Rattus norvegicus: one gene and its partners. The protein of the gene in region 3 interacts with the protein of the main gene of each other region in a pairwise test. Links are inferred from orthologs where the notes say so. Each region holds a gene or a part of one and is shown on either strand. Other genes may lie near its edges.

Region 1 (4,308 bases), on a different chromosome or scaffold from region 3:
TGATTTAAAGTGAGTAGGACTGCTTAATTAATTATTAACTGTTTAAACATTTGAGGAAGCTCCCAAGAGGAGACACCGCTTTACAATAGCAGCAGCAGTGTACAAACAGTCCAGGTTCTCCATATCTTCATTATAGCTCTTTTGCCTTTTGGTTTATAGCTATCATGCTTGGTATGAAGCATTAACCCCTCCACTTTGAAAATCTTAATATTCTTTAAATGTTTTGTATATATAATACATGTGGAAGCCAGAGACATCAGGTATCTTCCCAATCCCTCTTCTTCTTTCTTTTCTGAGACAGTCTCGGATTGAACCTGGAGTTTAACAGTATAGAGGAACTAGTGAGTACTAGAGATCATCCTGTCTAATCTCTCCTAGGATGTAGTCATTCATGTCCACATGCTTATGCCACATGCATGTCCCCAACTGAGCCATTTCTCCAGCCCTTAATTGCTCTAAGACCACTCCTCCCTCATTATTTCAGACAGTCACCTGATCAAACGCAAGCCAATTTAGCCATGTGCTTATATGCATTAGTTGTGGAATTTTGAGTGAATGTTTGGCTCCCTGGACACTGTAAAAATACTGTTTTGCATAATAACAACCAACTTAAAAAAATCTATTCTGTTCATGGTATAGTAGTAAGCATAGTTTCCTTCCAAAAAACTAGTTCCATTATGAATTTAAAATACAAAGCACTAAAGCCACGCCAAGCATAGGCACTGTGGCACATGCCTTTAATCTCAGCACTCTAGAGACAGACAGATGTCTTTGAGTTCAAGGCCAGCCTAGTCTACAAAGGGAATTCCAGGCCTGTCACTAAGAGCCTGTTTCTAAGAAAAGAAAAAAAAAAACTATACCAAAAGTAAAGGATACTATAAAAACACTAATAAATTATGAAAGCAACAACTTTCAGTTATTTTATTTCTTACAGAAAATTATTTTTTTTCTTAGTAATTTAACAACCATATTCAGCCAGGCGTAGTTGCTCTGCCTTTAATCCCAGCACTTGGGAGGCAGAGGCAGGTGGATCTCTGAGTTCAAGGCCAGCCTGGTCTACAAAGTGAGTTCCAGAACAGCCAGGGGTAGACACACTACACTGAGAACTTTGTCTTGAAAAACAAAACAAAAACCCAACTCCACTGTATATACTGCTAAGCCCAGTTAAGGGTGAAAGTTACTCAAGGGGGAGAGGTTGGCAAATAAATACCTAACTCCAAGAACCGTCCTATAAGCTGCTAGAAAGCAAGACAGAATTGATCCTGAAATAGGAAAGGTCCTTTAACCTTTGGTCAAAATGCAATCCCACCAAGGATTATAATAAAACTACTGACGGCATCCTAGAATCACCATCTGTGTAGGGCATCAACAGGAGAGTTCACCAACCTGGCATTTTCTTCTTCTGGCCTTTCAACTTCATTTTCATCTACCAAATAAAATAAAATAAAGTAAATGAGGAAACCAAGCTTAAGCAACAAGTAGAAAAATCTGAAGGGAAGAGCATGAGCACTAACCTAGATCCTTTGCCAAATCACTGTGCACATGCACGTCCCACGGGCCTGCGAGCATAGCCAAAGTTAGATCACTTTATAAACAAGACACATCTCTTATGGAAAAAAAAAAAAAACACGACTTTACTGCTATTAATGTAAACTTAATTTAAGAGGCGATGAGGATTTACACATCATCGTAAAAGAAACCTCACACTTTCACGTTTTAAGGGTAGTACCAATGCTGTCTTTCCATTATTAAAGACATAATCGACTTTACAATTTGATCGGAGTTACATCACTAAAAGGCTGCTTAGACTCCAACGTTCACTTTTATGTAATCTATGACAATTTATGTCAAGAATGTATGTTCTGGGAAATAACAAAATACTTTCAAATCTGGTGTAACAAAGAGCCAAGGCGGATTACGACTTAAACATCAAACATGTCCTCTACAAAAACAAAGTACATGATGCATTCAATTTGGGGACACAAATACAAAACACTGAATACAAGCCTACGGGAAGAGTCACGAGGTACAACTATGACGTGGACTATAGAGCAGTCTCTAAAAAAATAAATAAATAAAAACTTCACCTTAATACAGGAGACAACTCAGGGTTGACCATAGTGTATTCTCCACCTCTGTCTCTCTTAATTAATATTTTTAAAGCACGACTTTCAGACAAGGAGGTACCCTTGCAGGTGCATTCCATACAAACTGACCATCAAGAAACAAGACATTAGTTTAATAGCATTGACTTTATTTAGCTGTTATTACAGAATGACTGTTTCTGAAAGAAAGGGACGAGGAGGAGCACCCAATAGCAAGAGACACCGAAGCAGCTCAGGATCGATAGAAAGAGCATGAATAGAGAGCGCAGAAGCGAGGAGGCCGGGACGGTGGGGAGGAGGGCGAAGCAGGGCTGCCCGGCCTCCTTGGCCCGCGTCCACCGCGCGGTGAGTGCCTGCGGGTCCGGGCGAGGGCCCGGAGCAGGCCGCACTCGGCCTAACGCAGGCCTGCCAGGGCTAGTACGAGAGGCCTCGGACGCCCGGGCCTGAAACGCCGGGAGGAAGGCCAGAGAGAACCCGGGAGACAGACAGGAAGTTCCGTACCGCCATACAGCCACTCTTCCTCCTCATCCCCTCCGGTCCCGCCGCTCAGCTCCACCAGACGCTCCACCTCGCCGGCCGACATGGCCGCCCCTCGAACAAGTTAAAGGCGACGATCAACAGCCCCTTTCAACCCCTTCCCCAGCCTCGCCGTCTCAGGGCGCGAGAAGGGGAGGGAACCCGCTGGTAAGCGAACGAAGAGAGCGCGAGACTCAAATCCAGGGTCGACCTCGGCGGAGGCGGCGACCGTGAATATTCAGCAACTGGTCCGCCTGCGCATGCGCAGCAGTATCCAAGCGGCGCGGCGTCTCTAGGTGGATTCGCTTCCGCGGCGGCAAGCACCTGGGCCTCTCGCTGCGCAGGCGCCGCGCACTGGCTCCTCCCCCTCCCACCCCACCCCTAGGATTCCAGCTTTGCTTCTCGCAGTAGCTTTCTCTCTGCCTTCTGGTGTTCTTTGAAGTTCCCTTCCCCCAACCTTCCTTCCAATCCCAAGTTCCCTTTGCTACACCATTGTTCTTTTCTGTCCTTGCTTTTCTCCCTCCACTATTTGTTCGTTTTAAAATCCGGAAGGCCATCATCCCGCACGTGTTTGCTTGACCCACAATCATACTTGTCAATTCGTCCGAATTTTAACAACCAACAAAAGAAAAAATTAATATATACAGGATGCATTCTCTTTGTTTAAAAAATTATTAGTGTCCGGCATAGTGGAGTATGCCTTTAATTCCAGCACTTGGTAGGCAGAGACAGGTTACCTGGACTACTTAGTGAGTTTCAGGCTACATTGGGAGACTCTGTGGCCTGAAAGTTTTATTTATGTTAATGTAACTCAAACTGGTCATCTGAGTGGAGGGAACCTCAGTTGAAAAAATGCCTCCATAATATCAAGCTGTAGACAAACTTGCAGGGCGTTTTCTTAATTAGTGATTGATGGGGGAGAGCCGACCTTCTGACTAGATCGTGTGGGTTTTAATTCTTAGTTTTGCGCTCACTCTTGTTTGCTATGCCCTGTTCCCCTGTAGGAAATTCTCGTATTGTTTCAACTTTTAAGTACAATCTCCTCTGTAAAATCCTCCCTGTATTCAACCAACGCGTATGAAAGTCTGCCCAGTGTCAGAAACTCTTCAAGACTATATAGGTTGGGCAGTAAAAAAAAAAAAAAAAAAAAAAAAAAAAAAAATCTTTCTTTCACGAAGATTTTATTCTAATGGAAGAGCGACACATAGAATGCAGACCATCTTATTGATAATGATTTAAAAATAATAGTAGCTGAAAAAGACCTGAAGCCAAGTGATTAAAGGGGAGGAGGTGTTATATCAGGTGGTTAAAAAAAAATAGATCCCTACATGGAGAAGTTTCTGGATTGGGGCACTTGGCAAGGAGATTAGGAACAGGCAAAGAAGCAGAGACCTAGGAGTTCCAGGCACCAAACTGTATTTGGAATAGAGCAAGAGGCAGAATGTAGGTCAGCAGGATTGGGGGGTGGGGGAGGGGACTAGAGTAGAGCTAACTCTCTTTTAGACCACATGCTGCTGTGTTATTTGACTACGTAGCTTGTTCGTCTTTCCTTCCATCTGTTGTATGGTGCACCATATCTTTTTGGCCCTTGATACAAGAAACAGAAAGAAGGTTTACTGTGTGCTTGAGAGTACCGCAGGCAGGCACTCTCCGTGGTTAGCTCCATTTTACAGTTTCGTGCATCTAA
Region 2 (4,367 bases), on a different chromosome or scaffold from region 3:
CAAGGCTCAGTGATGACATCAGAGAACACTCCTGGGGAAGAATAATGTCTCATGTGAAAAGCTTAGAAGCAGGACACAGCAGAAACAAAGAGAGAACATTATGAACTTAGGATGGACAGCATACAGCTCTGCCCCTGGGGTAAGCCTGCTGATGGGTGCCTCCAGAGCCTTGCTAGAAGCTGTGCCAGGAGCAGCGAGGCAGAACCACAGGGAAGGAGACTGTTCTGCCACTTGTTAACTGGATTCTTTCTCAGAGGACAAATACATCTGGGCACAAACCAGGTGCAGCCCAAAGGGAGGAAAGCAAGAAGTCATGTGGCTTGCTATATACAGTATCTGTTTACCAAGAATGAAGTACTCAGAGGGAACCTGAAGGAGGGCTTAGAGGATTTTGCTGGGGTATAGGGGATGACAATGATGTTAAGGGATAGAGTATCTCCTTAACTGGAATATAAGGCCTCTTCAAACTATTCTGTTTCCTTCAGTCTCAAGACAATGTCTTCCCCAAGAAAGCCGGTATCTTTCCCCTAACGGGATAGGCTGGCCTAGAAAGGGTATGATGCTGGGTCCTTTTCCACTCCCTACCACATTACCCTAATGACAGGCAACCTTGGTATGAAGCCCTTTAGACACACAATCTCATGACTATCAACTCTAGGAGGATAATCTTACCATCCCACTGTACATGGACACCAGGTTCAGAGGGGGAATGATTTGCTTAATTCAAAGTTTGCCTGAGTCTACAGTTGTTCTGAAGCATCCAACTCGCTTTCCCAAGACTCTTCTGCTAAAAGCAAGGTTAAGAGCAGCATCCTCTCGGCTCTTTCACAAGTCTATTTGCCAGGCTCCTCAGCTCTGGATAAATTCACAAGCCACGCCTCCCTTCTTAGCAGGGAATTGTCTGTGGAAGACTTGCCAGCACATGGGTAATCCCTAACACCACAACCATCTATATCTAAGGTGGCCCCTCCACAGGATCCCACTCCTTATGAACAAGTGAGTACCAGATGCCAATCCCAAGTCTCTTTTGAAGACTCATTTTTTAACTCTTTTTGCTGTTTAGTCCCAAGCCCTACAGTGCCTTCTCAGAAAAACACCCTAAGTTTTGGATGCCACAGTGTCTAGTTCCAGGTTTCCTCTCATATCAGGGTTTTCTGTACTGCCCTTTCATGCCAATCCTACCTCTTATACAGACACTTTGAGCTGATCAAGTTCCCCCAAATCTCCTGAGCATCCCATCTCCCTGGGCACACAAGTAACTATTTCTGGGGACTCGGGAGCCCTCTCCTGGAAAGGAATACTCCCTCGGCTTCATCATGAGGCCCCCAGCCAAAGCAACAGGTTTCCTTTCTTTTTAATCCTCTCTGCTTCCTCCCCCACATCTGCTAGACCAGCTACATGATCTCTGGCAGACAAGGGTCCTCTGCCCACCACACAGTTCATGCACTTGCTACTCCTGCTTTGAAAACTATCTATAGTTAACAATGCAAGGCCATTCAGCAGAAACCAGAGTATTGTCCCAAGAGTTTTCCCAATTCTGGACCCTCTAGCTTCTTTGTCCATTAAATACTCTGTCCTTTCTTGTCACCATTTAGATCCCAAAGCTCTCGTGCCTCCTCTGGACACCTGGGTCTCCAGGTACCAAATATACAAGTTGTATCTGCCCTCGAGGTTGACCCTGTAACTGAAAATATACGAGTAGCAGGTAGAGGTTTCCAAATCTTCTGCTGGTCTTTCATTATTCCCTAAATGCTCACCTGCAAAACACTGGAGCGTTCAGTTCATGTTTTGGGGGACTCTTCCCAGCCGGGGACACCAGTAAGTCCAAAGCACCAATCCACCCCCAGCACTAAGCAGATCTCCCACCCGTGAGGAAAATCATAGATCTTCTATCCTTAAAATTCTTCCAGTCCTGCACCCTTGGCCATTCTTCCACTACCTGAAAATCCGGCTTTTGAGACCCAGACCCAGATCAAGTGGTGGATTAGCACGGCTACCCAAGCTGTCAGCTCAAAGCTCAGCTAGAATCTTCCATTTTCCAAGAAGTCAACCCCCGACACCCCTTTCTCTAAAGCATCTAGTTCTTCTGACTTTTCCCAACTCAAAAACAGAATCCCAAAACTGTTTCCGGTCTTCGAATCCCAGGATATAAAGTCCTCCGGGGTCCTCCCGCTCGTACCCTAGTCGTCTTAAAACAAAATCCACCCCCCACCCCTACACACACACACAGACACAACACACACGATTTCCCTTGCACCGAAGGCCAGGATCCGCCCTCAGGCTGCCCCGAGGCCCTGGCCGCAGACCCTTTACAGCGGCAGGTGCCGGGATCCCTGGATCCTCAGACCATCTCCTGGATCTCTGTGGAGTCAAGCTCCCGCGTCCCACATCCCGTCCTCGGCCCGGACTCCAGGCTCCCCGGTCCCCCGCCCCGCGCACTCTCACAATGTCCGTCCGGCCCCGAGTAGCCGCCGGGCTCCGGGTGCGGCTGCAGCCCGGGCGGCGGTGGCTGCGCGGTCCCCTCCAGCTCGGAGCCCCCCTCGGTCTCGACCTCCTCGTTGTTGTGCCCAGGTAACCCCGGTTCGTCGTCAGCCTCGAGCTCCCGTTCGTCTTCGGGCTCCTCGGCCTCTAGCGCCGCCAGCAACCGCTCAGCAAGCTCGGCCTTCAGGCCGCGAGTGTCCAGGCCGCGGCGCTGCAGCTCCTCGCGAAGTTCGTTCACCTTCAGGCGACGCACATCCATGGCCCGGGCCCCCGGGGCGGCCCCCGAGCCCGGCCCGGCCTCCCAGGGCTCTGTCCCCCCTAAACCTTGCCTGTCAGGAGGCGAAGGGGGAGAAGGGGGGGGCCACTCCAATGGCGGCGGCGCTCAAAATGGCCGCCGCCGCCTCCTCCCCCTTGCCCGTACAGTACGACGTAAAACGAGTCTCAATTGGTCAGCGCATGGGGCAACGGGCGCGGGCCCGAGAACCAAGCCAATCACAGTGTGGCTTTCAAAGAACGGTAGTAAGAGGGCTCAGGAGCTGCCTAAGAGGAAGCGTTAGCCTACGTTGAAGTCGCGGCCAAAGCGGAGGGCGGGAAAAGGCAAGAGGCGGAGCAAGCACTGATTGGGTAGCGTCCGCGCGCCAGCTGCGGTACAGTCAAATGAAGGAAAGGGAGCAACGACTTGGAGCAATTAGCAATGAGCTCTCAGAATGGCCGTCCAGTCTCTCTCCGAGCCGTCCTTCCCTCAGACTCTGTAAAACACATTCTAACTGGTCTTCATCTCACGCCCCTCGCGGAGGCCAAGCGGGTAAAATCACTACAACCAATCAAATGCGGCGGAAAGAGGTCGGCCAACCCTCGTCTTTCCTGTTGCCTTTCTGAAACCGGAAGTAGATTAATTCACCGAAGGCCCGCCCCTTGCCGTTAGGGCGGTTTCAAAACAACTTATTCGCCAATCGCAGTTACTGTTATATTTCACCCATAGCTATAGCTTGATCGCTTTAGGAAAAGCTAAATAGATTGGCCATTCTTGAGGCTTGCCTCGCAAAGTTCTCTGTACAGCAAGTCATAAAACGGAATAAAAATTAAGTGGATATGTTACACATCGTTTGTAGAAACCCGGTTGCCTTTATGAGAAACAATAACAACAAAAATTGGTTCTGGAGAGCGCTGAAGGGTTGAAAACAGGGGCTAGGCTAACAGCAAGAGAAAAGTTGTGCGGTAAATCGCATCCCTCCTTTTGATAGCACATCCTCCTAGGGCACGTTCTCTATGGTTGCTAGACAAGCCACTCTGCACACGACCATAGAGCCTTCCCGCTCTGGATACAAGCTGCAGGAAGTTCGAGGCTTTCCATCTCGAATCCTCTAAACCGTTCGCTCAGTCTTGCTGTGTCAACACTGACCAATTCGCACACTAGCATCCGTAATTACGACAGGTGTTGTTAATCCATACGCCTATCGCCCCTTGCTCAGAAGACAAAAACTTAGTGAAATAACACCGAGACGCACAATGCAAATGTGCATTGACACCCAAGCCATAGCCTTAACGCCCAATAAAAGCCACAAACACTCTCTACTTAGATATAGTTAAGCATCCCACAATAAACGAATAGGCGTGACAGGCCAAAAGTATCAATTCAGGATAAGACTTCAAACGGCAGTGTAGGTGTGGCACAAGCATGCAGCGTCGCGCGACAAAGCTCCGCTAGGACAGTTCACGCTACAAGCTTACACCACAGCAACCTAGACACGCGGCACCCACTCAGCAGCGGGACAGACACTCACGTGGACCCGAGGTTCCAGTCCAGACACCCCGCCCCTCGCCCACGTTGGACTTCCTCTCTCCTCCCAGCTGCCCACAATGATTTATTAAAAAAAGAAGAAGAG
Region 3 (3,587 bases):
GAGGGGATCAACAGCAAGATAAAAGTGCTGTGTGGGGACAGCCATGAGAAAGAACACAGCCTCATCCACATTCTTTTCTTAAAATTCTGTGTACTCGCCTGTGTGCGTGCGTACGTGTGTGTGTGTGAGTGCGTGAGTGCGTGTGTGTACATGTACATACATTTGCCACAGTATGTGTACTGAGGCCAGAGTGTTCTCTCTACCATGAAGGCTCCAGGGATCCAACTCAGGCTGTCAGCCAATACCCACTGAGCTATCTTGCCAGCCTTTACCTAACGCTTTTAAAATCAAAGGCAGGCAGCTAGCTATGTGTGTCTGATTCAGTTAGGAGACTCCACAGACGTGTTCCTACCAGACTCAAGAGCATAGGACGGTTTGATAGCCTCGCTGTTCTGGGACCAGGAGGGTTCTATACCAAGTTCTCCGAGCAGGGAGGTGTTTTCCTGAAGGGCATCTCTATACCCACCAGATAGGGCAGTGTGTTAGGATAAGAGGTGAACAGTCATGCGCGGGTCTCGTTTAATCTTGTGAACGTGAATTCCTGAATTCCGCTGCGAGGTATTCTGAGATTCCTTCAGTCAAGGTATGAGGAGCAAACACAGGTACCTGTGTCTCGTCGGTGGCGGTGTAATCTGCAATGGCTACGAACTCCTCGGGCTGCAGCTGCAGCTGCAACTGTGCCCCGTCCTGAAGGAGCTGCATCTCACAGCCATAGTCCACAGGGTCTTCCTCCTACCACCGCCAGGGACAGACAGAAAGACAACACTGTGAGCGCCTCTCTCTCTCTCTCTCTCTCTCTCTCTGAGCTTTGTTGTCCGTGTACGCGCCTCTCTCTCTCTCTCTCTCTCTCTCTCTCTCTCTCTGAGCTTTGTTGTCCGTGTACACATCTCTCTCTCTCTCTCTGAGCTTTGTTGTCCGTGTACGCGCCTCTCTCTCTCTCTCTCTCTCTCTCTCTCTCTCTCTCTCTCTGAGCTTTGTTGTCCGTGTACACATCTCTCTCTCTCTCTCTGAGCTTTGTTGTCCGTGTACGCGCCTCTGCCTCTCTCTCTCTCTCTCTCTCTGAGCTTTGTTGTCCGTGTACACATCTCTCTCTCTCTCTCTGAGCTTTGTTGTCCGTGTACGCGCCTCTGCCTCTCTCTCTCTCCCTCTCTCTCTCTCTCTCTCTCTCTGAGCTTTGTTGTCCGTGTACGCGCCTCTCTCTCTCTCTCTCTCTCTCTCTCTCTCTCTCTCTGAGCTTTGTTGTCCGTGTACACATCTCTCTCTCTCTCTCTGAGCTTTGTTGTCCGTGTACGTGCCCCTCTCTCTCTCTCTCTCTCTCTCTGAGCTTTGTTGTCCGTGTACACATCTCTCTCTCTCTCTCTGAGCTTTGTTGTCCGTGTACGTGCCTCTCTCTCTCTCTCTCTCTCTCTCTCTCTCTCTCTCTCTCTGAGCTTTGTTGTCCGTGTACACCGTGTACACATCTCTCTCTCTCTCTCTGAGCTTTGTTGTCCGTGTACGCGCCTCTGCCTCTCTCTCTCTCTCTCTCTCTCTCTCTCTCTCTCTCTCTCTCTCTCTGAGCTTTGTTGTCCGTGTACACATCTCTCTCTCTCTGAGCTTTGTTGTCCGTGTACGTGCCTCTCTCTCTCTCTCTCTCTCTCTCTCTCTCTCTCTCTCTCTCTCTCTCTCTCTCGATTGCTTCAGACATTCAAATGAGAAAGTATTTGTTATTCAAACAATCTGAACCACCGAGCGTTCTCACCTTTGGTCTACCTCTGTATCTCCGAGACAGGGTGACTTAGAGAAAATGTCTACGGGAGCAGGAAGAAGTGGGTGCTGGCCCTCAGCTTTATCAGCTTGCTTCCCAAGAGTGACACTCAACTAGTGACAGAGATACCACAGCTTGTCGGACTCCAGGGGTCTCTTCAGACCTAAGGCACCAGGCAGATAGAGCAAGAGCCTACGGAAGGTGCTGGAAACTGCTATAATCCTCCACCCTACTGCAAACAGAGCTCAAGCAGCCTGGCTGAGACTTTGCGAGTCTATGGCCTGTGCCCTATAGCCACCGTCTATCAGAGTAAACACGCCTTAAAGACATACTGGGGGTGGAAGTGACGGCTGGGTGATTAAGCGAGTCCTGGCTGTTCTCCCAGAGGATTCAAGTTCAATCCACTTGGCACCCACAATCATCTGAAACTCCAGTCCCAAGAGGTCTGACACCTTCTAGCCTCTGCAGGGACTGCACACAAACATGCACACATACAAGCAAAACATACACATAAAATAAAAAAATGAAAGATTTTTTAAAAACCAGTGACTTCAATACAACCAACAAAATCAAAACTACCTGAGAGATAATGTGTATCTTCTTCACGATACCTTAAACAAGGACACTAAAACCAGCAAACCATGCTTCCTTAGGACCCGAATGGTTATGGCCTTTAAATTTTACCACATTAACGCATTTCTGCCAACCCTAACTATAAGCAGTGTGGGGGCCTCGTAGCGCCACCTGCGTAATGCAGCTCAAGTCTTTTTTTAACACCACTTAATTTTTAAACTGCTTAGTCTCTAAACTTTCTTGGAAGTTACATGCTTTAAACAATGTAACCTCAAAAGCCCAGATGTACACATCTCCCCTCTCAAAACCTACTCTCCCTAAATGTGCTTAGAAAATGCACTAACTTGGGTTCGCTCTGACTCATCCAACCATTCTTTTCCTCGTTAGTCAAGAGTCTAGCTTTGCCTGAGTGGATGTACAGCCTGGAGAACAAAAACATCACATTTCCAGGCTAAGGAGATGGCTCAGCGGTTAAGAGCACGGGCTGCTCTTTCAGAGGTCCTGAGTTCAATTCCCAGCCACCACGTGGTATGTCACAACCGCCTGTAACTCCAGTTCCAGGGGATCTGACATATCTTCACATAGATATATACGCAGGCAAACACCAATGCACAGAAGTATTAAAGGAAAAAATTTCTGGTACCTGTGTAGTATTCCAGTCTATGAATTATCTGAGCTTACTTATCCAATCTCCTTTGTTGGAATATACACACTACTCCCAGCTTCTCCTGTTATCAATTATTAATTTCCTTGAACGCCAATCATCTTGCATGCACCTGAGAAGTTCCTGCGGATAAATTCTTAAAGTGTAAAGTTGGTCAAGGCTACCTTTCTCTTCTTGTCTGAGGGCGTTGTTTTGAGACAAGGGTCCGCTGTGTAGTTCTGGCTGGCCTAAAACACACTGTGTAGACCGGGCTGACCTCAAGTGCCAGCCTTCCCCTCCAAAGTGACAGGATTAGATGTGAGGACCACCACACTCTGCCCAAGACCATCACTTCTATGGCTTTTATTACAACGCTAAGGGCCCCCAGGACTGCACTAGGACTCAGTGAGATGGAGACTTGACCCACTGACCGTAAGTACAAAGGAGGCGTGTCCCTCGTTAACAGCAGGCGCTGATCCCTTCCTCTGTGCCCATCTGAAGGGTGCCAATTACTGTCCTGCATTTCCACTTGCCTGCCTTAGTGTGGCCATTCAGGATTCTCTGAGCATGTATCGGGCCTGTTTTAATTGCTAAGAGCCCATCTGTACTCCTGGCATTGCATCAGAG

Evidence for each region.
Region 1: the proteins of Prmt2 (region 3) and Fip1l1 interact in a two-hybrid assay, tested with the Homo sapiens proteins (2 studies listed by BioGRID and IntAct). The link is inferred for Rattus norvegicus from reciprocal best matches to the Homo sapiens genes PRMT2 and FIP1L1.
Region 2: the proteins of Prmt2 (region 3) and Hnrnpul1 interact in a two-hybrid assay, tested with the Homo sapiens proteins (2 studies listed by BioGRID and IntAct). The link is inferred for Rattus norvegicus from reciprocal best matches to the Homo sapiens genes PRMT2 and HNRNPUL1.

What each region holds. Positions count from the first base shown.
Region 1 is NC_086032.1:34,026,939-34,031,246, forward strand, and holds the start of Fip1l1 (pre-mRNA 3'-end-processing factor FIP1), read right to left. Parts: upstream 2,816-4,308; 5' UTR 2,689-2,815; coding exon 2,607-2,688; intron 1,560-2,606; coding exon 1,515-1,559; intron 1,427-1,514; coding exon 1,387-1,426; intron 1-1,386.
Region 2 is NC_086019.1:90,387,542-90,391,908, forward strand, and holds the start of Hnrnpul1 (heterogeneous nuclear ribonucleoprotein U-like protein 1), read right to left. Parts: upstream 2,830-4,367; 5' UTR 2,741-2,829; coding exon 2,446-2,740; intron 1-2,445.
Region 3 is NC_086038.1:12,400,790-12,404,376, reverse strand, and holds part of Prmt2 (protein arginine N-methyltransferase 2), read right to left. Parts: intron 733-3,587; coding exon 607-732; intron 1-606. UniProt on the Homo sapiens protein: Arginine methyltransferase that methylates the guanidino nitrogens of arginyl residues in proteins such as STAT3, FBL, histone H4. Acts as a coactivator (with NCOA2) of the androgen receptor (AR)-mediated transactivation.